4 linked regions of the Pelodiscus sinensis genome follow. The protein of the gene in region 1 purifies or fractionates together with the protein of each later gene. This does not show direct contact. Links are inferred from orthologs where the notes say so. Each region holds a gene or a part of one and is shown in the gene's direction. Other genes may lie near its edges.

Region 1 (7,267 bases):
ATGACACTGCTGTGTTCAGCAACACCTGGGAGGACAACAAGGAGCACCTACTCCTGACTTAAAGAGGCAGGTCTGACCATAAAACCCTCCAAGTGTAAGATAGGGGCAGCCAAGGTCCCTTATCTAGGACATTGGGGGGGGGGCGAAGAAATGTCACCTGACCCAATTAAGGTGGAAGCCATCGTTAACTGGCTAGTACCTCAGAGTAAGAAACGGATCCAATTCTTCATAGGCATGGTGAATTATTACAGGCAGTTTGTGGGCGGGTTCAGCGACATCATAGCCCCCATCACGGACCTGTGCAAGAAGCATCAACCTACTAAGGTGGTTTGGTCAGAGGCCTGCCAGAAGGGCTTTGATGAGGTGAAAGTGCTCCTGTCAGCAAAGCCTGTACTAGCCAGCCCTGATTTTGATAAGACATTTGAATTGTGCACTGATGCATCTGACAGTGGCTTGGGGGCAGTGCTTATGCAGACAGGGAAGGATAACAAGAAGCACCCTGTTGCCTTTCTAAGTAAAAGCTGTCCCCTACTGAACAAAACTACTCCGTCATAGAAGAAGAGTGTCACGCCATAGTGTGGGCGGTCAAACAGTTGAGACCCTACCTCTTCAACAGGAGATTTAGAATTTTTACAGACCATTCACCACTGATATGGCTGAACAGAACCAGGAGCACAACCTCGAAACTGCTGCGTTGGAGTCTGATTCTACAGGAGTTTGACATGGAGATCGTGCACATAAAAGGCAAGGAAAACACGGTGGCAGACGCCCTGTCCAGGAAAGGGGATGTAGGAGACACTACCTCTGCACTGAACACTGTCCAACCCTCCAGCAGTAGTTTCATGGGAAGGTGTGACGGATTCCCCCATGCTTTATGAAATGGACTCATGGACACGAATATATATAACTCAAAAGTGGTGTGAGCAAATTATTTCATGCAACCCATCGATCTTCATGTCAAGATCTGCTGGTTCTGTTTATCTTACTCTGTTGTATGTATCATTTGTGTGTGTAAAATTAGACACAGGGAGTGAGGAATAATTTGTGAATTTCCAATGTGTGAATGGGAGACATGGAGGGTGTTACCTGCAACTTCTAGATGAGCCACTGTTAAACACTCTTTTGTCCTTAAGTCTGAGCAGTGGTTGGTAGGGAGTGGCATCAATTCCTTAACAAAAGGGACAGGAAAGTAGAGGACTGGGTCTTTTGGCTGGGCTGTACCTGGAGGAAGGATCCTGAGACCCCAGGGTGGGGAAGACAGCCCTGGTTTAGAGTGGCAGGTGGAAAAGTTTGCACTGAGGTTTCAGTGGAGAATTAGCCAAGCTGTTTTGTTTCTTTTGATTTGTAACCTACTTTGCTCTGCCTCCTCTCTCTTATTACTACTTAAATCCTACTGCTTCAACTTAATAAAACCATTTTTATTTTCTATCAAACCGAGTGTAAGCGACTGTTACCTGGGGGGGGCAACCAGTGTGCACATCCCCCCTTTCATTGCTAAAGGGGGCTTACCTAATTCTTTGGGGTTTGATCCCATCTGGGGAGTGCTCTCTGAGGAGGCTGGGCCCTAAACTGCACTCTCCTTGGATCTGAAGTGGTTCAGTGTCTGTACTGCTTTTCCATAGGGGCAGGGAGCTCAGCTCAGGGCCTTGGCTAGGGGAGACCAGAGGAACTGGCCCAGCAGGACTGGGCAGTGAGGAGCCCCAGAGAGCAGGAAGGCGAGTGGCAGTGGCCGTGTCAGCACCCCGGGAGGCACCCCCGAGGGGTCGTCTGTGACGGCACCCCGTCACAAGGTTACTTTCTGTAGTTTCTTCATGATGTGTGGCCCCTAACTGGATTCTAAATATGAGTGTGCATGGCACCAGGTGCCAGAACTGTTCATAGGAGAGACCGTTGGCCCGCACATGCATTGTGCACCAGCTGTATGGTGCATGTGAAGCTTTAGGAGGCAACATAGGTTGATGCTGCGCCAGTTCCCCTCTTATGAGTTAGTAGAGGAGTTGGTGGCTAAGGGGAAGGAGGTCAGGATTAGAATTCAGAGAAGGATCACATATCTCAATCTCCAGTTACAGCATGCAGCCTCCTCTTCAGAGGTACCAGTTAGATAGTGTGGAGGGGCTCTAACCCTCCCCTCCTCCCAAGTATGAACCCCTGAATTTCAAACTTGACGTCTGCTTAAAGTGCATGCCCTGACCCCCGACAAAGCTCTTAACTGAAGCAGAGCTTGTGCTGCTCCCAGTTTTGCCTTGAGGGGTAGGGAGTTTATTTATAAATAGAGGGAGTCAGAGTAATTAAGATAACAAAAGGCTTGTCATTACATTAATTGAAGGATCACTAGATGATCATGAAAACATTTTCAGGCACTCCACTTAAAAGATAGGAAACAAAGGGTAGGAATAAATCGTGAGGATGGAGGGAATTAACTAGGTAACCCGTTCCAGTGCTTCTTCACCCTCTAGGGAAACTTTTTCCTAATATCCAACCTAGACCTCCCCCACTGTAACTTGAGACCACACTGCTCCTCGTTCTGCTATCCACCACCACTGAGAACAGCCTCTCTCTATCCTCTTTGGAACCCCCCTTTAGGAAGTTGAAGGCTGCTGTCAAATCCCCCCTCACTCTTCTCTTCTGCAGACTAAACAAACCTAAATCCCTCCACCTCTCCTCCTAGGCCTCCTAATCGTTTTGGTCACCCTCTGCTGGATTCTCCAATGCATCCACATCCTTTCTATAGTGTGGGCCCAGAACTGGACACAATACTCCAGATGCGGCCTCACCAGAGCCAAATAAAGGGGAATAATGACATCTCTGGATCTGCTGGCAATGCTCCTCTTAATGCAACCTAATATGCCATTAGCCTTCTTGGCTACAAGGGTGCCCTGTTGACTCATATCCAGCTCCTCATCCACTGTAACCCCCAGGTCCTTTTCTGCTGAACTATTACTTAGCCATTCAGTCCCCAGCCTGTAACAATGTTTGAGATTCTTCCTCCATCCCAACTGCAGGACTCTGCACTTGTCCTTGTTCAACCTCATGAGATTTCTTTTGGCCCAATCCTCTAACCTGTTCAGGTCACTCTGTACCCTATCCCTGCCCTCCAACATATCTACCTCTCCCCCCAGCTCAGTGTCATCTGCGAACTTGCTGAGGGTGCAATCCATCCCCTCAGCCAGGTCATTCATAAAGATGTTGAACAAAACCGGTCCTAGAACAGATCCTCAGGGCACCCGGCTAGTGTTAACTGGTTAAACTGGGGGCTGCTCCTGCCCGCACTGGTTAACGCTTTGCATCCCTGCCAGCACAGCTGTGACCTGCTTGGTGCAGGAGCGTAGGGTCATGCGGGGCATGGGTGGAGGGTTGAGACTCCTAGCCTGAAAGACTGACAGGGAATGCGGGAGTCCCGGCCCACAGGGGTCTGGAGACGCGGGGGGGGGGGGGGGAGGAAGGGGCGGGAGACCCCGGGAGTGGGGGAGGCGCGGGAGACCCCGGCGGGCTGAGGCGGGAGGCCCCGGGAGGGGGAGGGGCGGGAGGCCCCGGCGGGCTGAGGCGGGAGGCTCCGGGGGGGGAGGGGCGGGAGACCCCGGGAGTGGGGGAAGGGCGGGAGACCCCGGCGGGCTGAGGCGGGAGGCCCCGGGGGGGAGGGGCGGGAGACCCCGGCGGGCTGAGGCGGGAGGCCCCGGGGGGGAGGGGCGGGAGGCCCCGGCGGGCTGAGGCGGGAGGCCCCGGGGGGGGAGGGGCGCGGGAGACCCCGGGAGTGGGGGAAGGGCGGGAGACCCCGGCGGGCTGAGGCGGGAGGCCCCGGGAGGGGGAGGGGCGGGAGACCCCGGCGGGCTGAGGCGGGAGGCCCCGGGAGTGGGGGAGGGGCGGGAGACTCCGGCGGGCTGAGGCGGGAGGCCCCGGGAGGGGGAGGGGCGGGAGACCCCGGCGGGCTGAGGGGGGAGGGGCGGGAGACTCCCTGCCTGGCACTAGGCGCCGCCTCCCCACGCCGGCCGGCGAGGTAGAAGTTCCGGTGTCCCTGAGCACGTGCCCACTCCCAGCGAGCCCTTCGCGCCAACTGCCCCAATTCGAATCCGCATCCTGAGCGCCCAATGACGGGGCGGGGAGCGGGCGCGAGGTCCCGCCCTGTCCGCAGGCCGGCCAATGACAGCGCCAATTGAGTTTGAAAAAAAGTGCGCGCGGCTGGTGGGCGGAGCCTCCCGTGGAGTCCGGAGTCCGACGCGCTCGGGGCGTGGCGCAGCCTGAGGGGGTGGATCCTCGCGCTCTCCGCGACGCGCGCTGGGCTGGGGGCGTGGCCGTGGAGCTGGGGCCCGCCCCTCGTGCCCGGCGCCGGGCTCATTCCGAGCGGGCTGGCGGCGGGCGCGGCTCGGCTCCCTGGGGACGCGCAGCGCGAGCCCGGCGGCAGCATGAAAGCGGGCGGTGAGCGTCCCCGCGCCCGGCGGGCTGGGCTCTCTGGGGGCCACCCTGCGGGGGGGTCCTGCAGGGATGGGGGGGGCCACTGCGCGGGGGGGGTCCTGCAGGGATGGGGGGGGGCCACTGCGCGGGGGGGGGTCCTGCAGGGATTGGGGGGGCCACCGTGCGGGGGGGTCCTGCAGGGATTGGGGGGCCACCGTGCGGGGGGGGTCCTGCAGGGATTGGGGGGCCACCGTGCGGGGGGGGGTCCTGCAGGGATTGGGGGGCCACCGTGCAGGGGGGGGGTCCTGCAGGGATTGGGGGGCCACCGTGCGGGGGGGGTCCTGCAGGGATTGGGGGGCCACCGTGCGGGGGGGGGTCCTGCAGGGATGGGGGGCCACCGTGCGGGGGGGGTCCTGCAGGGATGGGGGGGCCACCGTGCGGGGGGGTCCTGCAGGGATCGGGGGGGCCACCGTGCGGGGGGGTCCTGCAGGGATCGGGGGGGCCACCGTGCGGGGGGGGGGTCCTGCAGGGATTGGGGGGGGCCACCGTGCGGGGGGGGTCCTGCAGGGATTGGGGGGGCCACCGTGCGGGGGGGGGCCAGCAGGGATTGGGGGGGTCACCGTGCGGGGGGGGTCCTGCAGGGATTGGGGGGGGTCACCGTGCGGGGGGCTCCAGCAGGGAGTGGGTTGCCAGCCCGTGGTTAGGGGGCTCTTGCCCTGGCAAACTCCAGATGCCTCATGTGGGGCTGGGGGGGGGGGGGGGGTTAAGCCCAGCAGGGTGGATGCTCTGCTGTCTGTTTTCTGGGGTGTCCTTGGGATGGGTGCTGCATGTTTCTCTGAGCCTCGGACCCTGCATTCTCAGATTTGAGACATGAGGGCTAAGTAGTGTCTGAAATACCCTTCCCAGCATCTGATGGGCTAATCCCCTCACCTCCATGTCCCCAGATGGTCTCTGGCACCTCCTTATTGTCCTTTTTACTTCTCCCCTGTGCTCATAAAAGAGTGTGTTTTAGATTTTATTTTTAAATTCCAAAGAGAGGGAGCCCCACTGGTTTAGGCGGGTGGATTTAAAAATCAACCGAGCCTATAGTGGGACAGGACGCTGCCTGCAGGGGGAGGGGACTCACTCATGGTTCCTGCATGGGCACCCAGGACTTGAGAAAAGAGCTGCTAGTCTTATCTTGGTCACTTTGGGTTTCTCATCAACCCAGAGAGTTTCACAAGATAACCTTACTTTATAATTTATGAAATGAAGGTGTGGCTGCAAGATTTGCAGGGAACAGATGAGATTTTGCTTCAAAAGACAGGGTGTTTGAATGAAATGTAAATTACTGAAATATACACATTGCAAAATTCCCCATCAACAGCAGAGACTTGAATAAAAATACTTTAAAAGTTTAATTCAGAATTAGAGGGATTTTTGACATTTCAGGCTGGTCACAAGATTGAAAGTCAGACTCAAGTATTGCAGTTCCCTGTTTTTTTCAATATAAGTCTCATTTTATCTTTGCCATGATAACATCTACAATTGAAATATGACCTCTAAGCAACCCTCCATTCTCTCATGTCCAAAGATAATTCAAATTTAATATAATAATATACAAACTGCAATATTAATTCCTAATTTAATATGGCTGCCTCTGGCTGAGGGAAGCAGCTAATTGGCACACTTATGGAGGGAAAAAGGAGAATGTATGACCAAAAGCCTAGGAGCAAGCTCCCCTAATTTTACACAAGTGCTAAGGATTCCTATGTCCAGAGCAGACAAAACTTGCTTTTTTATCATCTGAGCATAGTGAACTGCTTGCAGATCATCTAATGAATTACTTTTTTGCCAAAAACTATAAATGGGTTTACCAAGTAGATTTTGTTGCAGGCAGATTTATTTTAAGAGGAAAGGGTTTTTTATTACACTTTCTGCATTAATTGGACAGAAATATTAGAATACTTCACCCAAGTTGAATGTTTTCTGATTCTTGCTATGGGGTACATAACACTAGAAGATCTGCTTCTTAAATACACTATCTTTGCTTGCTAAATGTATTTTGGAATGCTTTTGTTGTTTAGTCAGTACCTGAATTTAAAATATTAGAAATGCAGCTTGTATACACAATGTAGATATGTTAATAGTGTATGAGGCCATTTTAAAGTTAACTCACTGTAATATAACTTCTGGGCTACTAGAGCTATATTGTCCACCATCTAGTCTTGCTTGATTCAATTTCCTGGACTGTGGGTCAGTTTCAGTTCTGAATACAGGCTTAATTGGCATGCCAGTCTAGAGATGAATTCCTTCTTACATTGCAGTAGTTCTCTTGCTGAAATTGGGGGGAGGGGGGGAGATACCTATGAGAATAATTTAGTGATTTGTGCATATCAGAATTGCCCTTTAAATTACATTAATATAGCCTTTTATTACCAGGAGGAGAATGGATGTTTAGTTAGAATAGTTATCCTGGAAACTCCAAAGTATTAATAGGATACATACTCAGTTTGTTAGTCTGGGGTAGCTGAAGCAAAATGCAGGACAATGTAGCACTTTAAAGACTAACAAAGACGGTTTATTAGATGATGAGCTTTCGTGGGCCAGACCCATTTCCTCAGATCAAAAATCTGATCTGAGGAAGTGGGTCTGGCCCACGAAAGCTCATCATCTAATAAACCATCTTGTTAGTCTTTAAAGTGCTACATTGTCCTGCATTTTACTCAGTTTGGATATTTTAGGTGGCCCGTTGCTTTTTCCCCCCCTAGGCAGATACCTATTCATTTGCATTAGGAAATACCCAGGTCTAGGGACTGTATTACTCAGTCTTACGGAGTGTCTCTCTACCTGGAGAAATGTTGCTAGCCCTTGCTAGATAGAGGGGTACTTCTGGTGA
Region 2 (7,583 bases), on another chromosome or scaffold:
ATACTCACAGAGCATTTATGAGTTGTTCACTGTCAAACTAGGAGAGTGTATCTAGTGGGATCCCTAAGGTGTCAGTTCTGGACCAGGCACTATTCAGTATTTTCACTAATGAATTGGATAAGGGAGTGGGGAGTATGCTTATAAACTTTGCAAATGGCACCAACCTGTGAGGGGCTGCAAGTACTTTGGAGGCCAAGACTGGTACTGAAAATTACCTTGACAAATTGGAGAACTGCTCTGAAATCAACAAGATAAAATTCAATAAAGATAAGTTCAAATCTCTTCACTTAGGATGGAAAATGCACAACTACAATATGGGGAATAACTAGCTAGGCAATAGTAGTATTGCTGAAAAGATTTGGGGATTATAATGCTTCACAAATGAGTCAACCTGATGCAGCAATGAAAAAGGCTAATATTCTGGGGTATATTAACAGGAGTGTTGTATGGAGGTAACTGTCTCCCTTTACTCAGCATGGGTGAGGTCTCAGTTGTAGTACTGTGTCCAATTTTGGCTGCTATGCTTCAGGGAAGATGTGGATAAACTGAAGAGAATGCAAATGAGAGCAATGAAAATGATAAGTTTAGAAAACCTGACCAGTGAGAAAACTGGGCATGTTCAATCTTGAGAAAAAAAAGACTAAAGAGGGATCTAATAATTGTTTCAATATGTCAAGGGCTCTTATAAAGAGGACGGTGATCAATTGTTTTCTGTGTTCATGGAAGATAGGACAAGAAGCAATTAACTTAATCTACAGCTTAGATATTTGGAAAAACTTGCTCCTCTAAAGGTAATTACATTGTGGAATACCCATCATTGGAGGATAGACCAGGGATGGTCTACTTGGTCCTACCAGCGTGCAGGTGGCTGAACATGATGACTTCTCAATGCACCTTCCAGCCCTATTTTACCAAAAGCACAACTGAATATTGAAATGGAACTGTACTTTCTCCCCAGAATAGGATGGTACAGCCATCCGTTTTAAGTTACACAGAGAGTTGCATGGGGAAGATACATTGAAAGTTTTCTCTCCACTTGTCTTGTAAAGAAGACAACAGCCAGAACTATTTAGAGTCCTTCTTACAAACCTCCCAAATGACTGCATTATATGGCTTCCTGTTCGTATACATTTGAAATGAAAAATGATTGCATTACAGATGTCTGGCATATGATTTGCAGCTAGGGTAACTGTTTTATAAGACTGATGGACTAATTATTGAGTTTATCATTTTATTCTGATCTTTTAATAATAATGTACAGAAATGTGGAAGGGCAATTATCCAGGCACATAAAAAGCGATTAAAATGTGTAAAAGCTATTAATGTGTTGTAGTATCAGTGCAAAGTATAAAATGTGAGTGTTTAATGGGTCTGGAGGGCTACCCTATAGGAAACAGAAGATTGCTGTCCTTAATGGAGCCATAGCAGGTGGGAATGGGAACATTTTTAACAATAATTGCTTCTCCCTCTTCTTGTGCTTCTTGGAAATCCAGAGTTGTATAATGGGGATGGAAAAAAAACAACACACCATTCAATGTTGTCATGCAGTCAGCAGTCCCTTAAATGACTGCAAGAATTAGAGTGATCCTGAACAGTTAGGATAGGCAGCACAGGCTGTGTTAACAAGGGAGAACTACAGGTACCATATATGTGATAAATGTGTAGTTTCTCTGTCATGATTTATCAACACTATGCGTAAGACCTGAGCAGTGGGGTGTTTTCTGTTGACCTGTATGGGAACATCTACACAGCAGGGCTAAAGCCAAAATAAGCTATGCAACTGGAGCTACATCAATTACATAGCTCAAGTCAAAATAGCTTATTTCAGCTTTTGGCGCTGTCTACACAGCAGGAAGTTCAAGTTAAAGCATTCTTCCTCTGACTTCCCTTATTCTTCGTAAAATGAGGGTTACAGGAGTCAGAGTAAAAAGTCCTACAACTTGACATTATAGGTCTTTCAACATTATGTAGAAATAACTGCTTGCTGTGTAGAACGTGAACCATGTTATTTTGGAATAACGTTAGTTATTCAAAAATAATGTCGCTGTGTTGACAGTCTAAGAGTTTAACTCAACAGGAGGCTCTCTGGGAAAACATGTCAGAAGGAAAAGAATAGGTCGAGATAGCCACCTCTCAGCAAACACTGAAGACCTATTATGGGACAATGCAAGAACTATTATTAGCTTTGGTGATTTTGCCTCCTCTCCAGCCAATCTACCCAAATGGTTCTTACCAGGACAGGATAAGACCCACAAACACAGGACAAACAAAAGAACTGTCAGAATCAAAAGGGACCCTCTCTAAATTCCATCCCAGCAAGGTAAAGGCAAAAGACCTAACATGTGAGAGAGACCAGAAAAGGGACAGAGGTGCAGACTGTCCTATAATCTGATCATAGGCATCCAGTAGTCTCAATACAGAATCCCTTCTATGTGCATTGCTAGTGAGTCTTGTGTCTTCTCTATAAGAGTCAATACAAACATCTTTTGCCACAAAGAAATTCATGAAGCAGAACCTCACAACCTCTTGTAGAAAGAACGACAACATCTGAAGAGTTCTACACTACTAGCAGCTACAGTTCTAGCCTCTCCTTACCACTTTCCCCACAACATAGCAGTGAGGAAATGAGAAAGACGTATCGGTGAATGGGAATTCAGCGCTCAAATGAGATTCCTTCTTACTCAGAAATAGAATAGTTTACCTCCCAACCTATGCAAAGCTCCAGGGAACCACAAGCTGATGATTCCATGAAGAACTCATCTGCACATTAACCTGTCCAGATTTCGGTCTAGTTTAGCCAATTCTTTTTAAAATCAAGAGGGAAGGGCCACAGTAAAAACAGAGAACGAGAAAAATCCTCACAAGATACAAAAGGAGGGCATATGAATAACAAGGTGCCTGAGGTTTCAAAATTAGTGCCACTAACATTACTGTATAACATTACAGAAGGTGCTGTTCAAATAAATGCCTGCATACAGCATGTTAGGTGTATCTCAAAGGGTTAAGAGAAGTAGATCTTGCTCAGCATAAAACAATGGGGATTCTTGCCTGGGATCAGACTGCATGACAAGGCTATTAGAAGTACTAGTTTTCGAACAAGATATCAAACTAAAGTGACAATGGAAAATCCCACACCATATTATTTAAATAAAGGAGACATGCCCTACCTACATTTCCCCTCTCATAAAACAGTATTGAATGTGCATATCTGTCTGAGAGTCATTGCTGAGCAAACAATGATTAGCAGGTTTGCCTGTGCAGTCATCACAATACCAGTAACTATTGCATTCACCTTGAGAATGAAATGAGCTACAAGTAAACCAATTTTTATTTTAGAAATACAGATTATGCAGTGCCATTTATCAACCCTAGACTCAAATCTGTCAACCATTGTGTAAGAATTATGATGTCAATCTAACATGTGGGACCTTTCTTTTTCTGGGCTGGAATGAGATGAAATGCAATATGCATTTAGACAGTATCCACGTGAGTAGCTTTGGCTCTCTTGAAAGACTCAGACCAAACTGAGCTCTGAGCTCCTGTCTCAAAGTACAACCTATCTTTAAGCAGGAAACTGTTGTCACACTTATCTCATACATATATTAACACTTTGTCTAATAGCTTTACAGTTATTTCAGTCATCCAAAAAAAAAATCCCTCCACAAAACGCTCGGCAAAAGAGTTTTGAAAGCTGCATAACTTGTTTACTTGATTCTTCATTGCAATCCAAGCAAAAGGCTTCATTCACCCTTGTCTCCTTTGATGCATTTAACTCACCTTTCCTGCCCCTTCATATGTTCTGAGATCCTGCCTGCCTAGAATCCTAGAACTGAAAGGAACCTCGAGTAGGGATGTAAAGAGTTAACCGGTTACCTGGTAAGCATTGCCTTATCTGCATGCTTACCAGAGTAACCAGTTAACTGGTGCCTGGCCTGACAGGAGCAGCCCCTACCTGTGGCACATCATTTAGTTGAGCCCTGAATGGAAAGCGCTGCATGATGGAAGATCCCTAGTAGTTGGACTTCAAATTGCCTTTATATTTTCACAGAATTGGGTTTTACCTGTAACAAACTTAACACTGTAAGAGAACCAAGAGACGTGTGTTCATTATTTTAAATACTGTCAGCGCAGGAGAAACCTAACAACTATGCAAATACAGTAGAATCAACAGCCCCATGAAAGAACTAGGCAGTTATGATGGATGCCTCTTCCACAAGGAGCTTCGACTGGAGCAGCGGGCACGCAACGCTCCCTTAGCCGTTCAACGTCCTTCAAGGGGAACAGCGCCAAGGCCTTCCCCGCACTCACCTCACCTCTCCTCCTCCTCCCCCTCCCCATCTCGCCTCTGCCTCAGCCTTACGCATGCGCGCTGCTGGTAGGCCGGATCATACCATTCCTCTAGGGTGTGTGTGAGGGCAATCCCAGATTTGCTTCTGTCCCTGTCAGGAGGTACGGCTCCGCACATCCCGAGCGAGGTACACTGAGGACGGTGTGAGAGCTTCTTTACGCAGATCCAAGCAGGCCACGTTCCCGGCGTTTGCTCTTTTCCGTTCATTTCCAGCTTCCCCCCTCCGAGGGAAGAATAGTTCGCCCCCAGACCGGTCTCTGCCTCTGGGGGCCGGTAGGGCCGCCATTTTGTCAGCGGCGGCTGTAGGAAGGTGGAGGTGTCTGTAACCCTTTCGCCCCGTGTAAGGCCCCCTTCCCCAGCCCGGTGAGCAGAGCAGAGTTAGAGGCAATGGCGTTCCCAGTCCCAACCGCGGCTGGGCCTGTCGGAGCGGGTCGGGAGCCGCGGGGAGTTAGGCCCAGCCCGGAGCTCGAGAGCGGCTGGGCCTGACGGGGCGGGCAGAAGCGCGCGCGGAAGGGCTGGGTGGCGAGGCCTAGCTGCCCGCGGGAGGGGGTGGTGGTTATAAACTAGGCCTCATTTAGGGGTAGCGTATCGGCAGGCCATCTAGTCTGGTCCTCACCCCTTTCTCCGGGTAATGGTTTGGTCCTGACTCCCTTCCTCTGTGGCCTGACCTCTGCTCCCTGTCTCCCCAGTGTGACCAGGACATTTACCCCCCTCCACCTGAGAAATGGTTGGGCCTCTGCCCTCGCATTGTCTGATCCTTGCTCCCCTTCGCTTTACCCCCCACCCCCCGCCCCACTCTACTTTGGTCTGGTCCTTGGCTTTCCCCCTTCTTTTTCGCTTCCCAGCAGTACCTGTTGGCTCATCCCTTCTACCCCGTCCCACTCAGGGGTGCGCCTCGCCTCGCCCCCTCAGTGGGGTGATTGGTGAGATCAATGCAAATTGTAAGCAAACCCTTTATTCACACCCTTTCCTTTCCCAGCATTCCGCTTACATGTCACCTTGCACTTCGTTGTGAGAACGTAACACACACAAAGCTTAGAGAAGATAAAATGCAACCTCACTTGATAGTTTCCTTATGCCTAGCAAAAAAAGTATTGTCGGTGTTTTGCAGAGAAGCTAGGATTAAAAATAAAATTGGAGTAAAAAAATTGCTGATCTCCTCCCTGCTTTTTTTGTTACTCTATTAGTAAAATCCAGCAAAGATGTCCGAATACATCCGTGTTACTGAGGATGAGAACGATGAGCCCATTGAGATCCCCTCAGAGGATGATGGCACTGTGCTGCTATCCACAGTTACTGCCCAGTTCCCTGGAGCATGTGGCCTGCGTTACAGGAATCCAGTGTCTCAGTGTATGAGAGGAGTCCGGCTAGTGGAAGGAATTCTGCATGCCCCAGATGCTGGCTGGGGAAATCTGGTCTATGTTGTTAATTATCCCAAAGGTTTGTTTTTGTTCCATGAATATTTGGTACAGCCATGCTTTCTTAATTACAAGGAATTTTACATCAAGAGCTAGAGATTCCTTATTTTTTGTTTTCCTCTTGTCAAACCATAGCACAACTACAAATTAGTCCTTTTCACATGAATGTGTGTGCCTGACCCACAGAGTGATTTTGAGCGTTCTCATTCATGAGAGTATTATTTAGTATAATTCTACAAGGTGCTTTACTAATAAAACTTTACCTTACTTTTTGTAAGACTTTTAACAATCTCACAGAGTTATCAAAGGTCCTATCCTACAGTGAGTTTTGTGCAGAGCTAAGGTTTGCCCACGTGAAATTGCATGATTAGAACCAATGACATCAGTGTTGTAAGAGAAGGTGTGGGAAAGGTGAAAGATGACCAAAAAAAGAAAAAAAAGAGTAAGGAGAGCATTTTTCCGTTTTCATTTGAGTAGCCATTTTTCAAAGTATATATAATGCATACAAAATCTGGTCAGGCATGTGAATGTTATTTGGCAGTACTTCAATGGAAAACATGCTGAAAGTGTGTTTTTAGATGCATTTGTGTCTGCCTGTCTTCTGAACTTCTATCCCAATACTGTAGGGCAGTTGGATGTGTATTATAACATAATAATAAATATGTATCTTTCCCTATTAGCTTCCATGATACATCCTGAAAGGATCTATCCAGTGATGGGCAGCCTATGGGCTGCATATGGCCCACTGGGATTTCACCTGAGGCCTGCATGTCCCCTATCTGCCCCCTTCCCCATGCCTCTTGCACACTGGGGCACTGGAGCCTATCTCTTCTTTCACCGCCACCTCCCTCCCAGCACTTTTGTAGCGCCATGAATCTGCTGATTCACACTCCATCCCTGCTCCTTCCCCTCCCTCTCAGAACTTGAATGCTATGAATCAGCTGTTCATGGCTGTTCAAGATGGAGGAGGAACAGGGACTGAGCATGAATTCAGTGGATTCCTGATGCTCCAAAAGTGTTTAGAGGGAGGGGGAAGAATAGGATGTATGGGGGGTCCAGTTCTCCACTGTGTGTGAGGCATTCAGGAAGGAGGCAGAAAGCGAGTGCGAGGGCCGCAAGTTGCCCACTACTGGCAATCATGCAGCCCACTCACTAGTCTTGGTTGTTCTTCACTGATCTGATCCTAGTACTATGCTGCTTCTGACCAATGAAAGCAGCTTTCCTTCATGTGTTGTGGAGATAGATGACAGTTTCTGATGTGTATCATTTAGATAACAAGAGAAAAATGGATGAAACGGATGCCTCATCAGCTGTGAAAGTAAAACGAGCTGTACAAAAGACATCCGATTTAATAGTTTTGGGTCTTCCTTGGAAAACCACTGAACAAGATTTGAAGGAATATTTTAGTACGTTTGGAGAAGTTCTCATGGTTCAGGTAAACTCTGTTGCACTTGCCTCTCCACTTAAGTCAGAATTTGAATTCCGTTAACTTAAACGTTTTTCTATTTGAGCCAGTACAAAGCAATTTGGGTAGTATAAAGAGTACATCTTTAACTACTGTAACATTAAAATTTGCTTTACACTATTTGCAGTGTGCTATTTTTTCTTGGGGATATCTTGGTATGTGTTCAGGTAGTTGACCCATATCAAGACTTGTTTCTGAAAAGGGAATAATTCTGTTGTAACAGTGTAAATGAGACAGAATATGGCCCGCTGTGTGATGATTGGGTTTTGTGCTTACATGTTAATTTATTATTACTATTATGGTAGTTGTAGTGTTTTTGAAGACTGAATTTTAAGTTTCATCAATATGTTTT
Region 3 (7,141 bases), on another chromosome or scaffold:
CTGGTGCCTGACCATTTGAAAAAAGAAGAAACATCCGAAATCAAGTGGCATACATCACATATTTTCCTAGAAAGTCAAAAGCAGCAATCAGAGGCTGTCTACACTACACTCCTTTTTCCGATTGTTTTTTCGGAAGAGGCCTTTCTGAAATTTGGCCTGTTTACACTGGGCCAAATTTCAGAAAAACCTCCTCTTTCGGAAGAGCCTTTCTTTCTTGTGAAACGAGGTTTGCAGGGCTTCCGAAAGAGTATGTCTGCTTTTCCGCAAAAAATGTTGCATTCCATGGACATGGCGGAGTTTTTCTGGGATACCTCCAGTATTCCGGAAAAAACTCCATAGTGTAGACATAGCGAGAGCAAGTGAGTGAATGAGCGAGAATGTGTGTGTGTGTATGCGGGGAAGGGTATACTCTCCCATGGTCCACCCTAAAGCCAAAGTTTGGTCACATGACAGCAAAATCTGAGATGAAAGTGACAGTACAGCTTTTCTTCATGTGCCTCTAATCCTTCAAAAATTTAAGCACATATATAACATATGTTAAAACTATTCCTGTGCATGAATTTTGCATGTTTAAGTCTTTGCAGAATCTAGGCTTTTGACCTTGTCTATGCCAGAAGAGAAAGTATAGATAAGAGAGAATGTCATAGAGGTATACAAAACAATGAACAACACAGAAAAGATCAACAGGATTGTCCTACTTCACTTTTTGAATTATATCTGAATGGGAGAGCATTTAATGGGAAGGTAAGACATATAGCATGTACAAATTGCTGACTGATGAAACTCATTGCCACAAGATATATCTGAGGCATTGAAAAGATTTAAGAAATATAGTTATACTACAAGACTTACCCGGCATTGCTCAAGTCGTTAACTCAATTAATTATTGTGTTTTGGAAAATAAAATATTGGAGCTGGGGATGAAGGTTTCAGTATGCAGGCTGCCCCAGGGAGAGAGGACTACCTTAGCCCTCTCTTTGTGCAGCAACTTGGGGACAGGTGAGAAACACCTCTCTATGGCCACTGCAACTTCAGTGGGCACAGTTGGGAGAAGGGTACATGTCGCTCTACTGAACAGGTCCAGGTTCATCTGTGTCCTGCGCTCCCCAGCCAGAGTGAGAAGTTCAGCAAACTGTGCACTTTCCCCTGGGGTAACAGCCAGCAATATTCCTGTATGAATCCAGGGGGTGGAGGAAAACTTCAGCCCTTCCCATCCTCCCTCTCTAAAGGATGACTGGGAGGTGAAAGGCTTGGGACTTGGGGCAGTTTGGGGAGGTGGGGAGACACCCCCAGCCAGCCCCTTTCACATGCCTGGTGATTATCTCTTTTCTGTATGATTTTATATGAACCTGTATGAATGGGGGGGGGGGGGGAGGCCTGCAGCCCCTCTACCCTCCTTAAATGGCACCTGAGGGGTGAGAGACTCAGGACTGGGGCAGTCCTGAATGGGGGTGTGTGCACCGCCTACCAGCGCCTTTCATGTGTCTAGTGATGCTGTCTTTTCTGTATGGTTTTGTAGGAAGCAATCCCACAACCTGTTTTCCAGGCACAACCGAACCTTTACCTTGGTTTAAGTTATGGTAAGAGAAAGCTGCACATTGAATTTGGCAGCCCTAGCTCTTACGGTTTAGGAGTTCTTGAACCAACAGACACACAGACAGATTCAGGCGGACACAGATCGACAAACTCTCTCAAATATATAGTGAACAACCCACCATTATTTTTACAGACATCATGTTTCAGGACATAAAATATCACTAATTCAGGGGCTGTGTCTAGACTGGCCAGTTTTTCTGGAAAATCAGCCACTTTTCCGGACAAACTTGCCAGCTGTCTACACTGGCCGCTTGAATTTCCGCAAAAGCACTGACGATCTCATGTAAGATTGTCAGTGTTCTTGCGGAAATACTATGCTGCTCCTGTTGGGGCAAAAATCCAGTGTAGACAGCCCAGATTTGTTTTCCGCAAAAAAGCCTCGATTGCGACAATGGCGATCGGGGCTTTTTTTGCGGAAAAGCGCGTCTAGATTGGTACGGATGCTTTTCTGCAAAAAGTGATTTTGTGGAAAAGCGTCCGTGCCAATCAAGACGCTCTGTTCCGAAAATGCTTTTAACGGAAAACTTTTCCGTTAAAAGCATTTCCGGAAAATCATGCCAGTCTAGACGTAGCCAGGAGGAGTAAAGACAAAATATCCTGCTGGGGCATCTGAGACAAAGGGAGCACAGAAGAAGGGTTAAATCTTCTCTGGTTCCTAAACTACTGGGACCATCCACCAAAGGAGTACTTCCCTGGTTCTTGAGTTTATTGGTGCTTGGTGGGAGCGGGAGGGCATTCCCTAAAGTGGTCTGCAACATGACTTAAGTGACCAAATAGAAATAGTGGAAAAACTAGGACGGGGTGGGGGATATACTACCCCTAATTATAAAAAAGCCCAGAACAGCAAGACTGTCCCTATGTAAGGGGACTGTTACCCCTTACTAAAACTCTGTGGGAGTTTTTTGGTTTGCCAGCTCCCAGTTTCAGAAGGGACATGAGTCTGACAATGGAAAGCAGCCAACACTCCAGCTCAGCCTGATTGACAGGTTGGACAGGCCAGTGAGGAAGGGGAGAGGCCAGGCCCCGTCCTCCCTGTGAGCTGGGATTGTTCTGACTCTCTCTGAGCAAACAGAGAGCTGAGAGACAGCCCAAGCAGTGCAAGCTGTGTGCTGAGGGGCAGTTTTTGCAGCAGCTGAGCCAGACACACACGGCTCAAGGAGCGCAGACCCTGTGTTGAGCAGCAGACTGGCAGTGCTCAGAGAGCCAAAAGGAACAGAGAAGCAACACAAGAAGCTAGAGACTGGCCAAGAAGCTCAGCCTGCAGCTGGATGTGGTGAGCAGAGGGGAACTGCAAAGTGTGGGGAGAGGCTCTGGACTGGGAGAGGGGTCTGGCCACTTAGAGCTTGAGGCTGTGTGGTCACTGCCAGAGCAAGCGTGTCCAGCCTGCAGCCCCTCCCCCCCGCAGCACATCCAAGGCCTCTAAGGGGCCTCTAAGGAAGAGACTGTGGACTGTCCTTACACTCTGCAGACTGCTGTTTTGATGTCCCTGTGCTACAGAGCAGGGCTGTGTGTTCTCATTTAACCTTTCTCATTTTTTCTTATTCTTTTCTCTTTAATCAGTTGATGTTTAATAAATTGTATTTGCTTTGAACCTTATGAAGTGATCACTGGGCCAAGGCGGCCTGCAGTGTAAAGAGAGCACCTCGGACTGGGGACACCCTAACTCCTGCCCCTAGTGACTACAAGGTCGGGGATTAAGCCCCAGGAAACCTGGGCCCAGCCTTGTTGGGGTTTCAAGGGCTCTGCTACTCAGGAGGGTGGAGGGGGAGCCCTCAGGAACAGGGGAGCCATGGGGTAAAGGAAGTGGGAGTGGGGACTCAGATCCTTTCGCTGGTCCATTTCACCGGGGTGGTATAAACGCCAGGAAAGTTCCCCACAATAGCGGAATCATTCCCCCGCTTACACCTAGAAAATCTGGTCACCCTAAACAAGACAGAGGTTTTCAATCTGTGGTTTGGGAACCCTTGGGCACCCACAGACTACATCTAAGATTTCTAAGGGTCTGCACTGCCATTCCTATTTTTTTATGGATCCGTACATTTAAAAAGGTTAAAAACCATTGGTCTGTGGGAATCAGCAGCTCTGGAGCGACAGAGCCACCCATCCTGCCCCTTCCCATATGTACTTTTTCCGAGTCTGCAAACACCCCCGTGCGATAGACTCTTATCCCGCTTTAAAAGAGGGGGAGAATGAGGCAAGACTGACCCTCTTCTCGCTGCGGGAGAGACAATGCAACAAAAGGTGCGAAAGGGAGGGGGCAGACGCAGGGGGTGGAACGTCAGGACAATCCAGGGGCGTGTCCAGCTGGGGCTTTGGGCCAATGGAAGCCTCCAGGAGACGTGCAAGTGATTTTTGAAGTGGATTCCCGCTTGTCTAAAAAGAGGGGCGTGGCCGGCCTAAGGCTTCTGACCAATAGAAGCGCAGAGCGGTCGGAATTTTCGGCGGCTCCCTCGTTTGTGACAATGGGTAGCGCGCCGCGGCCGGGCCTCGAGCCAATGGGAACGCAGCAGCGACGGCAGGTTTCGGGGCGGGCGGAGTGCCCGCTGTTGCGATTGGGCGGCCTGGCGTTCTGGCGCCAAGTTCGAAGGGAATATAAAGCGTCCCCGGGGCACCCACCACCCCTTGTTCCCCCAGCACGACTGAACCGGAGCTTTCATCGCGTCCCAGCCGCTGCCTCTCTCTGCTCGCCATGATCCCCGCCCGGGCCCCGTTCTCCGTCCGCAACGAGCAGCCCCGCCTGTCGCCCATGAAGAACCTGGTCCTGACCGACAAGGAGAACACGGTGAGTGGCCGCCCCCCCCCCCTCGCCGCCCCCACCCCCCCCAGCCACGGGCGCGGCGCCTCTCACCAGCCGCTCTCTGTCTCCGCAGCCCCCCGCGCTCAGCGCCACGCGGGTCCTGGCCACCAAGACGGCGCGGAAGATCTTCCAAGAGGCGGACGCGAAGCCGGTGAGTCGGGGCCGGGGGGAGGGGAGGGGAGCCGGGGGGATTCGGGCGATCGGCCGGGCTGGGCTTGGGGAGGAAGCGGCTGTGAGCGCGCGCGGGTTGAGCTAGGCGGCAGCGGGAGGCTGGTCCCGCCGCTTTCTGCCTTGGCGCCAAATTCTGCGGCCCGCCAACGCGCGGGAGCCCCCCCCCCCCGCCTTCTTCCTCTCCTGGGGTGGGGAGCACCCCTCCCTCCGCGGGGGGGCCCCTCTCTTCTCCCCCCCTTCCCTGGGGTGGGGAGCACCCCTCTCCTTCTGCGGGGGGGGCCTCTCTTCTCCCCCCCCTTCCCTGGGGTGGGGAGCACCCCTCTCCTTCCGCGGGGGGGGCCTCTCTTCTCCCCCCCTTCCCTGGGGTGGGGAGCACCCCTCGCTTCTCCCCCCCTTCCCTGGGGTGGGGAGCACCCCTCTCCTTCCGCGGGGGGGGCCTCTCTTCTCCCCCCCTTCCCTGGGGTGGGGAGCACCCCTCGCTTCTCCCCCCCTTCCCTGGGGTGGGGAGCACCCCTCGCTTCTCCCCCCCTTCCCTGGGGTGGGGAGCACTCCCGCTTCTCCCCCCCTTTCCTGGGGTGGGGAGCACCCCTCTCCTTCTGTGGGGGGGCCTCTCTTCGCACCCCCCTCCTTCCGTAGGGGGCCCTCTCTTCTCCCCCCCTTCCCTGGGGTGGGGAGCACCCCCCTCCTTCCGCGGGGGGGCCTCTTCTCTCCCCCTTCCCTGGGGTAGGGAGCACCCCCCTCCTTCCGCCAGGGGGCCCCTTTCCCCTGGGGTCGGGGAACAAAGGCCTTTTGTGTACACTAGTAGGTCTGCATGGGCCAAGTACTGCACAATAGTTTAGTGCCCTTTAGAAGCTACACCTCTGTTGAACAGGTTACCACATGCCATAGACAAGCCCCAACCCAGACCTAATCGTGCCCCCTGACTTCATCTACAAAATAGTCTCATCACATGCACCTAAACTCCACGGGTGGGAGGGGCAAGGGGCCTGGCTGCAGCCAGCAGGCTAGACTCTCTGGGCATCTGGGGTGGAGAGAGATGTGAAGGAGGGACTGGCACTTGGCAGCAATGGCCAGAGAAGCAGAGTGAGCTGGGGCCACGTTCAGCTGCCCCCACTGCTGCCTGTGAGTATGTGTGGGAGGGGGGTTGGCCCCTTGGCCCTGCAAGTGCCCCCAGATACATCCAGTTGGGGAGGAGGGTGAAGAGGCAGGGTGGAGCAAGTGCCCAAAAGAGGAAGGGTGTGGCCTGGGGCCGAAGGGGTTGTCCCAACCCTTCCTTGGCCTGAGGGGGGAGGGTCATGTGGCTACTGGCCCCTACGTTCTTTCCCCGCTCCTAGTTGTCCCTGATCACAATGGGATGCAAACTAGTGCATCACATTCATGGTTACGCTTTCCTCTTCCCAACATCCACAGTGTCTACCAACACTGGGGACATGGAAATCAATTTTTCTTATTGTGTCTCCTTTAGTTGAAACCCAAAGCAGTTACTCAAGCTCCTAGCAATCTGGAAGATGAGCCACTCCTACGGGAGAATCCCCACCGGTTTGTCATCTTCCCCATCCGGTACCATGATATCTGGCAAATGTATAAGAAAGCAGAGGCCTCCTTCTGGACAGCTGAAGAGGTGAGAGGCTCCCATGATGGTATCCCTGCTCTGGTTGTTTCAGTGGACATGCCCACTGGATATTCACCGCTCAGGCCAGCTCATAACAAAGTGTGTGTTCCTAGTAGTATTAACATATTTACATTGCAATAAAACCTGTGGGACTCAGTCATGATCAGGAACTTTTGTAGTAGGTGCTGTACTAATGCAACAAAGATGGTCCATGTCCCAAAGAGTTACAGATGATGTGTCGAAGTGCCTCGCTACCTGTGCTAATGTGAGGGTTTCTTTTGTCAGCATAGGTAATCCATGAGCTAGATCCATGGAAGAATTCTTTGATCTGGAGGTTTAGCTATTGGCCAAAGGTGCAAAAAAGTCATTCCTTACCAACATAGGCCAGCTTAATTTTCTAGTGCTGATCTAGCCTAAGCTTGTTAAGAACCAACAGTGACTGTATATTAAGTGTACTAGAGCCTTAAAATTGTTATATTTAATGCAGGGGTGTGCAATAATTTTTACAGGAGAGCACTTAATGAATTTTGATATGTGGCCTCAGGCTGCATCTTGCCCAGCCCGGATTAAAATAGCTTTGGAAAAAGTGACATAAACCAAGAACAACTTTCCATGGTTCTAGGAACCCATTAAACTTCATAATTTGATTTACTGCAGTAATATTTTATGTTTAATACACAGTATAACATTGCTTTATATAAATGCATTCTTTAGTAGCATGATAAAATTGTAAGTGCCTGCTTTTGTTCTTCAGGTTGATCTTTCCAAAGATATTCAGCACTGGGAATCCTTGAAGCCTGAGGAAAAGTACTTCATTTCACATATCCTAGCCTTCTTTGCAGCAAGTGATGGCATTGTAAATGAGAATTTGGTAAGCATACAGAAGAGAAATCCTGAAGTAGAAATCGTTCTGTTAACAAAGCTGCCCAAATAAAACAATGAGATGTTTATCTCTTGAGCGTCTT
Region 4 (7,840 bases), on another chromosome or scaffold:
GGGTTTTGAAGGAGATTTTGCTTCTCACTTGTGTGGCCCCCAACTGATGTTTTTGTGGGTCAGTGACCCTAGACCCAAAAAGGGTTCTCCACTCCTCCCTTAAATAAAGAAAACATTGAAATATTTTGTGTTGCACATAATATGTTACTTTATTTAAAATGAAGTTTGGTAAAATAACACGAGAAAGTTAAAACGCTTAATCTATTTCATAATTTAAATTAAACTGTCCTTATTAACTGCAGCTGGTTCAGAAAATAAGGTCAGGATACCCAGCAAGGTAGTTCTCAACCCTGCCCCTTCTGTCCAAGGCCTTGCTCCTTCCTGGTCAGCCCGTGTCCACTTCCAAAATTTGTGAAGTGCCCCCCCTCCAAAATTATTGCCCACCCCGCTTTGGTTCTTATCAGGAAAACAGGCTGCAAGAACTGGGGGAGAGAGAAGGGAAATGAATCAAAATTGGCATTGAAATCTTAACTAAATAACTTAGAATTTTTGTTTAAAATTTTCAGTCTTTACTTTGTGGTAAGGTTGACTGTGCTCCTTTTCTGCATTTGCTACCACTCACTGTATGCTCGTCTCTCTTGCAATCCTAATTTTATGTATCCAGTTTCCTTACCATAATAACGGGAACTGCCTTTCCTTGCAATCAACAAGTAACTGATGGCCAACAGTACGCAGGATGAGGATGACCCTATCCAGAATCAAGGGTGAACCTCTTGCTACATAAGCATGTCAGTTCTCAGCACAAGAAGAGGATGCCCTATTCCATTTATTCCCCATTCCTTACCTGCATAACATCCAAAGGCATTCTCTGCATTCCTGACATAGTTCTGATGTTTCCCCTCTGCCAGGTACACCAGTGCTTAGCCTTCAAGGTTTGCCCACCACTGCTGGTTTTTATAGAGCTGTATCAGAAGCCTTAACTTCTTCAAGGATCATTCCATTTATTTCAGGAGACGCACTGCCACAGCATACAAGACAGGATATACTGGCACAGCAGGAGCACAGTTGGGCTTTCAAATCACAATAGTGAGCTGGGACTTAGCATTGTGATGTACTTTGGTCCTACCGGATAAATACAAATTACTGGCAGCTCTTTAGCCTCTATTATCCCAAATAAAGAGACGTGGCTGGGATCTCAGTTCCCTCTAAGGTGCATGCCTCTGCGGCCATGCATGAAGAATTCTAGGCCTGCCCACCTCATCTGCAGGGCCTGGAAAGTGACTGGCGAGGTGGGTTCTAGCTCCTACAGCTGCCATGTGGCCTGCTGCTCTGGCAGGTGGGGCTGGGGCCGCATGGTCGATGGCTGCTCCGGGAGCTGGGGCCAGGACTGCATGGTGGGTGGGTGGCTGCTCCGGCCAGCTCTGGCTGTGGCTGCATGGCAGACAGGAGGCTACTCCGGCCAGCTGGGACCAGGGCTGGGGCCATGTAGCAGGTGGGTGGCTGCTCCGGCTGGCCGTCCAGAACCGCGACCATGGCTGCGTGGCGGATTGGTGGCTGCTTCGGCCAGCCAGCCAGAACTGTGCCTCCCATCTGTGTCCCTTCTAGTCTGTTTTTCTCTTCCCTTTTTTACCTCCATCCCTTCTCCAGCCACTTCCCTGTCGTAAGAATTCTAAGTAAGGCTATAACATTTTGACTAACCAGCCTACCAAACAAAGAACTAGGATTTCTCTTCTCATGCCCCCTCTGGCATTACTCCAGATCCCCCACCCTTTCCCAATATAATAACTGTGAATTGTTTTGCTCAAATAATGTTGCAGAAGAAAATCAGAATTTAGGAAGACAGCAAAAAGTATTGGGATGAAACAAGGAACCAGTCCTATACCACTGAAGTTAACTAGAGTTTTGCCATTAACTTAAAAGAATGCAGATTAGAGCTCAAATGTTGTGGCTTCTACCCTTTGCAAAATGGTTATTAAGGGTATCTGAAAATAGTTTTCTTTCTGTATCTGTTGTTAGGTAAGATAGTCAAGCATGATGTGACTGAGTTTAAGTTCGCGGTTCCGGACGGTCATACTGTGTACAGATGTGGTTTCCTCACCTCAAAAAAGAAATTTTGGCCTTGGAAAGGGTTCAGAAAAGGGCAACTAAAATGATTAGGGGTTTGGAATGGGTCCCATATGAAGAGAGGTTAAAACGACTGGGACTTTTCAGTTTAGAAAAGAGGAGACTGAGGGGGGATATGATAGAGGTATATAAAATCATTAGTGGTATGGAGAGGGCGAATAAAGAAAAGTTATTAGTTCCCATAATAGAAGAACTAGAGGACATCAAATGAAGTTAATGGGTAGCAGGTTTAAAACTAATAAAAGAAAGTTCTTCTTCACACAGCGTGTAGTCAACCTGTGGAACTCCTTGCCAGAGGAGGCTGTGAAGGCTAGGACTATAAGAGAATTTAAAGAGAAGCTAGATAATTTCATGGAGGTTAGGTCCCTAAAAGGCTATTAGCCAGGGGATAGAAATGGTATCCCTGGCCTCTGTTTGTCAGAGGCTGGAGAAGGATGGCAAGAGACAAGTCACTTGATCATTGTCTTCGGTCCACCCTCTCTGGGGCACCTGTCAGCAGACAGGCTACTGGGCTGGATGGACCTTTGGTCTGACCCAATATGGCCGTTCTTATGTTCTTATGTAATCTAAACTTCCACATGTACCAATTGGACAAAATATGCCTGTATGGTTTGTTTAGTCATTAGATCATCTGCTAAAAAATTCTGAACTCAAATTAACATTAATATAAAGCTGTCATATTCCATTATGCTAGATGTACATCGCTATACCTCAGTTTCCCCTCTGTAGAGTTGTGAGGTCACGTGCATTAGCGATTGTGAGGAGGTCAGACACTGGAGTGAAGGAGGGCAGTGTGAGTTCCTTGATAGACAGACTGCATATGTCCCATTGAGGCTGGGGGAGCTCCATTAACACAGGCTGTGTAAACCTGAGCTCTGATGCCTTCAGGAAAGAGTCACGCTTCCCTCTGTTGGTGTAGCTTCTCCCTACCTGGCTGTGGGTCTCTTTCCATGTTCTCCTCACATTGGAACTAACCAGCCCCTTGGGTCTATCTCATGCCTTGTCCCTCATTTGTCTCCTATGGTCCCGGGGGGGGGGGGGGGGGGGGAGAATAGCTGCAGCACAGTGTTAATTATACTTTTAGTATTCTTTCTTCTATAATGTTTATATCTAAAGATATTTGTTAGTAACTGGTGGGTGCCAGTGACACACATCTGAACATGCACACGGGACCTCAATATTGGTGCACAAGACAAAACTTACTCTGCTCAGGATGGAAAATCTTAGCGGGAACACTGGATGGGATGTCATTCAACACTGCAGTGCTCCTTATTCAGTAACCAGAAGTCACTGCTCAGCTACACAAAGTACAAGGCACCTGGAGGAGAATTTAAACACGTTGCCTCCCATAGCATTCCCAACACTCACTTTGAAAGGAAACAAAGACTGAACAATTTTCCTGGCCCTGGGGCAGTATGCAACAGCCTAAAGTCACCAAGGTGAGATTTTTTTTTCCACTGAAAAATGTGCTTTGCAAATACTTGTCAGAGACAGACTGAGCCTTAGGGCAGGTCAACACTAACCCATGGAGGCATCACAACTGAAAATGAGCTAGACCAGCATCAATCTAGTGCAGCGGTGGCCAACCTGTGGCTCGCGAGCCGCATGTGGCTCTTCAAAGGAAAAATTGCGTCTCTTCTCACAGTCCCTTGCTCTGACCTTTTCTTCCTTGTCTGGGCAGGGCGCTGCTTGGCGCAGCAAGATCTGATGCTGCGGCTGACAAAGGCCTGCTTGGGCCACATGTGGCTCTTAAAGGGGCAGCAGTTTTTTTGGGGGGAGGGGGTTGTTTGTTTTTTGGTTTTTTTTTGCACAACAACTTGTTTTCCTCGGCTTTTTGCGCTGTATCCACCACTATTTTGGCTCTTTGTAATGAGTCGGCCACTCTGTTCTAGTCTCCTGCATGGTAGCACAGAGCCTTTGCCAGCCACCACTGTCCCCTGCTGACAGGGAGGCACTCTGAAAGGCCATGGGAAGCTGCGCGTGTTTGGAAGGAGAAGATTTACATTTTTTTCGAAAGGCCCCTTTGGCAAAGAGGAGCCCTGCTGAGTATTTTAGTGTGACTCGAAAATGCTCATTGCTAGGGGCACAACCGAGTGGGTGCAGAAGACTGATGGGCAGGACTAAAGGCACCCAACTCTGCCTTCTCGCCAGGGCAGCACGAAGCGCTCAGCACCCGACTGGGCCGGTCACTCTCCTGCATGTCGGCTTCTGGAGAGGAGCTAAGCGCCGGGGAGGCAGCAGCGCCGGCGGCGGGCAGGGCTCCGAGCAGCAGCAGGGCGGCCCAGGCAGGTGCATGTGTGTGGACGGGCACAGAAAGGAAGATGGAGGCGCAGAGCCCAGCGCTGCCCCACTGCCAGCTCCCCGCTTTGCAGCGCAGAGCGGCGAACAGCCTCCGTAGGCACCGGCCCGGGGCAGCCACACGCGGCTCGGCCCCGCCGCACGGAGCCCCGGCCGGTTCCAGCACGAAGCTCTGGGTCGAGCGCGGCCCGCAGCTCTCTCCAGGGCGGGGCAGACAGAGGGGAGGGGCGGGGCGGGGCGCCCACCAGCACCCCGGCTCTCGGGCGAGAATTCTTGCGTCGCCCTTTAAATGCTGCTGCCGGGTTCATTCCATCCCCCCGCCCTAAAGTTGCGCAATTCTGTCATGCGGGCGGGGGAGGCTGACTAGGGCTCCGCCCTGGCTGGCGCCTTTAAGAGCTCAGCGTCACATGATGCTTCCTTGCGATCTTTCCCCTCTCCCTCCCTCCCCTCACACCTGTTTGCGTGCGGGGCGGGGCGAAGGGAAAAGAACTGTCGCGAGTCTTTGGCCCTTTTCTCGCGCATGCGCACTCTAAGGGGCTGGGAGTCGGGTATCAAAATGGCGGCAGCGATGGATGTGGACACCCCAAGCGGTGCCAACAGCAGCGCCAGCAAGAAGCGCTTCGAAGTGAAGAAGGTGTGGGTCTCCGGCGGGCGCCGCCCTGGCAGCCGCGGGAGAGGAGGGGGGAACGGGGCGGTAGCTCCGGGGCGAGTTTTGGTCTCTTCAGAGGCCGGCTCTCCGGTTCCGCACTACGCACGAGTGGGCGGGGCTCTGGGTTTCTGGCGCAGTCCGGGGCCAATAGCTGAAGCGGGGTGACTGTACGTGGGGGACGGAGGGACCAATCAGTGGCGCTGTTGTTGCCGGGTGACAGCAGCGTGTGGGGGCGGGTCTGTGTTAGGGAGGTGTCCGCTCTGTTACAGGGAGTGGGCGGTGGCGTCCCCCCTTGAGGGCGGGGCTGCGCCGCGGCTCAGCCTGTTCCGTCGGGGCGATGCTGCGGGGCCGGGGCGCGGCGAGGGGGCGGGAAGTGTCGCCCCGAGGGGACGTGGCCGTGGGCAGGCTGCCTGGCGCCTCTGGTGTGGCCTTGAGCCAACGCGCAGCCACCCGCCACGGGCCCTCGCAGCCGCTTTTAGTTGGGTGATGTGAGGACGCTCCCGCCCTGAGTGGGTCTGGTGGCCGGGTGCGGGCGCTTTCTCCCTGATCCTGAATTAATTTTCGGCGTGGCGCAGCCCCCCGCCACCCCCTCTCCTGACGGCGCTGCTGTTCTTCTGCCGCAGGCCTTGGTTTCCCTTTCCCACCCGTTGACCTTTGCTTCGAAGCCTATCCAGGAGGGAAGACGTGTTTGTTTCTTTTCCTCTACCCCCAAAAACAAATCGTCAGGGACCCAGCGAGCATGGCAGCCCAGGAGTGGGCCCTGAGTAATAAAGCTTAATGGTGCCCCAGTCCTCTGTCTCCCTCAGACACCTGAGTGGCAGCAGTGGTGGCTGCCCCGTGCCAATACTGTGCAGTTTTCTACATGACTGTGGGTCAGACTGGTGTATGCTCAGTGAAGTTTGTCTTAGGTGCCCTTCATGTCAGAACTCTCCTTACTCGAGTCAAAGCTCCTAGTCATAGGCTTATTGGGTACTCTAGCCTTGCCCTATGGGCATGAATAACATCATCACCAGAAATTAAGACTAATAGCTGATTGGACCAGCTTCTTTCCTCCTTTATAGCAATATTGGATTTACTGAGCTAACAGAAGTAAAATAATCAATAAAATCCAGATTTTTTTAAACCATAAAATTAATAGTTATGACTTGAATACATCAAGTCTGCTGAGTAAAAAGGCTTTTACAGGTTTGCACAATAATTAATTCTCAGTTTAGAATCACACTTTAATGATAGAAAATACAGGACTATGTAGCACTTTAAAGACTAATAAGATGGTTTATTAGATGATGAGCTTTCGTGGGCCAGACCCACTTCCTCAGATCAAATAATGGAAGAAAATAGTCACAACCATATATACCAAAGGATACAATTTAAAAAAAATGAACACACATGAAAAGGACAAATCACATTACAGAACAGAATCATAGAATAATAGGACTGGAAGGGACCTCGAGAGGTCATCGAGTCCAGCCCCCCGCCCTCAAGGCAGGATCAAGCTCCGTCTACACCATCCCTGACAGATGTCTATCTAACCTGTTCTTAAATATCTCCAGAGAGGGAGATTCCACCACCTCCCTTGGCAATTTATTCCAATATTTGACCACCCTGACAGTTAGGAATTTTTTCCTAATGTCCAATCTAAACTTCCCCTGCTGCACTTTAAGCCCATTACTCCTTGTCCTGTCCTCAGAAACCAAGAGGAACAAATTTTCGCCTTCCTCCTTGTGACACCCTTTTAGATATTTGAAAACCGCTATCATGTCCCCCCTTAATCTTCTTTTTTCCAAACTAAACAAGCCTGGCTTCATAGGTCATGTTCTCTAAACCTTTAATCATTCTTGTCGCTCTTCTCTGTACCCTTTCCAATTTCTCCACATCTTTCTTGAAATGTGGCGCCCAGAACTGGACACAGTACTCCAGCTGAGGCCTAACTAGTGCAGAGTAGAGCGGCAGAATGACTTCACGAGTTTTGCTTACAACACACCTGTTGATACAACCTAGAATCATATTTGCTTTTTTTGCAACAGCATCACACTGTGAAATTTCCCCTTCCCCACCTCTATTATCATTAACTCACTGGCATTCACCTTCCTTCTCCTCCCCCTCCCCCCCACATCCTCCTTCTGTTCTGTAATGTGATTTGTCCTTTTCATGTGTGTTCATTTTTTTTAAAATTGTATCCTTTGGTATATATGGTTGCGACTATTTTCTTCCATTATTTGATCTGAGGAAGTGGGACTGGCCCACGAAAGCTCATCATCTAATAAACCATCTTGTTAGTCTTTAAAGTGCTACATAGTCCTGTATTTTGTTTCAGCTACACCAGACTAACACGGCTACATCTCTATCACTTTAATGATAGGACCATGTATGTTCTTGGACCAGGGAGTCCTAGTTGCGAACCCCAGTGGCAAGAGGGCTGGCGGCTTGGAGCTTGGTGGGGTTGGGGCTGGCGGCTGGGGCTAGCAGCGGGGAGGGAGGGTAGCAGGGGACCTTTTCTGGTCTGTCAAATTCCATCATTTGGGGCCAGTTAGGTCCCGAAAGTGCTAGACCAGAGAGGTCCAACCTGTATTCAAAAACCTACACTGGAGCCGCAGATAGGCCATCCAGTTCTTTGTGCTAGCTCTCATGACATTTGAAAGAAGGAACTTGAGTGCAGCATGGCATATTTTAACTAGTTGATTGTCATTGTGGTGGCAGTGGTGACTTATTAGTAGAGCTGCTGCATATGGTCATCCCTAATGGTAACTTATTGGTAGGGCTACTGCTCATTGTGGTATTTTCCATTTGGTCAAGGAGATCTGAATTGGTTTTCCAGTACGATTCTCA

Evidence for each region.
Region 2: the proteins of CCNF (region 1) and TARDBP purify together in Homo sapiens (affinity purification with western blotting; 3 studies listed by BioGRID, with this or other methods). This does not show direct contact. The link is inferred for Pelodiscus sinensis from reciprocal best matches to the Homo sapiens genes CCNF and TARDBP.
Region 3: the proteins of CCNF (region 1) and RRM2 purify together in Homo sapiens (affinity purification with western blotting; 5 studies listed by BioGRID and IntAct, with this or other methods). This does not show direct contact. The link is inferred for Pelodiscus sinensis from reciprocal best matches to the Homo sapiens genes CCNF and RRM2.
Region 4: the proteins of CCNF (region 1) and RBX1 purify together in Homo sapiens (affinity purification with western blotting, with the first as the bait; 4 studies listed by BioGRID). This does not show direct contact. The link is inferred for Pelodiscus sinensis from reciprocal best matches to the Homo sapiens genes CCNF and RBX1.

What each region holds. Positions count from the first base shown.
Region 1 is NC_134726.1:1,950,671-1,957,937, forward strand, and holds the start of CCNF (cyclin-F), read left to right. Parts: upstream 1-4,258; 5' UTR 4,259-4,400; coding exon 4,401-4,413; intron 4,414-7,093; exon of another isoform or gene 7,094-7,267. UniProt on the Homo sapiens protein: Substrate recognition component of a SCF (SKP1-CUL1-F-box protein) E3 ubiquitin-protein ligase complex which mediates the ubiquitination and subsequent proteasomal degradation of target proteins.
Region 2 is NC_134733.1:11,715,138-11,722,720, reverse strand, and holds the start of TARDBP (TAR DNA-binding protein 43), read left to right. Parts: upstream 1-4,572; 5' UTR 4,573-4,711; intron 4,712-5,535; 5' UTR 5,536-5,550; coding exon 5,551-5,788; intron 5,789-7,037; coding exon 7,038-7,201; intron 7,202-7,583. UniProt on the Homo sapiens protein: RNA-binding protein that is involved in various steps of RNA biogenesis and processing.
Region 3 is NC_134713.1:27,356,261-27,363,401, reverse strand, and holds the start of RRM2 (ribonucleoside-diphosphate reductase subunit M2), read left to right. Parts: upstream 1-4,137; 5' UTR 4,138-4,285; coding exon 4,286-4,378; intron 4,379-4,466; coding exon 4,467-4,544; intron 4,545-6,029; coding exon 6,030-6,185; intron 6,186-6,930; coding exon 6,931-7,047; intron 7,048-7,141. UniProt on the Homo sapiens protein: Provides the precursors necessary for DNA synthesis. Catalyzes the biosynthesis of deoxyribonucleotides from the corresponding ribonucleotides. Inhibits Wnt signaling.
Region 4 is NC_134711.1:89,607,900-89,615,739, reverse strand, and holds the start of RBX1 (E3 ubiquitin-protein ligase RBX1), read left to right. Parts: upstream 1-4,838; 5' UTR 4,839-4,882; coding exon 4,883-4,996; intron 4,997-7,840. UniProt on the Homo sapiens protein: E3 ubiquitin ligase component of multiple cullin-RING-based E3 ubiquitin-protein ligase (CRLs) complexes which mediate the ubiquitination and subsequent proteasomal degradation of target proteins, including proteins involved in cell cycle progression, signal transduction, transcription and transcription-coupled nucleotide excision repair.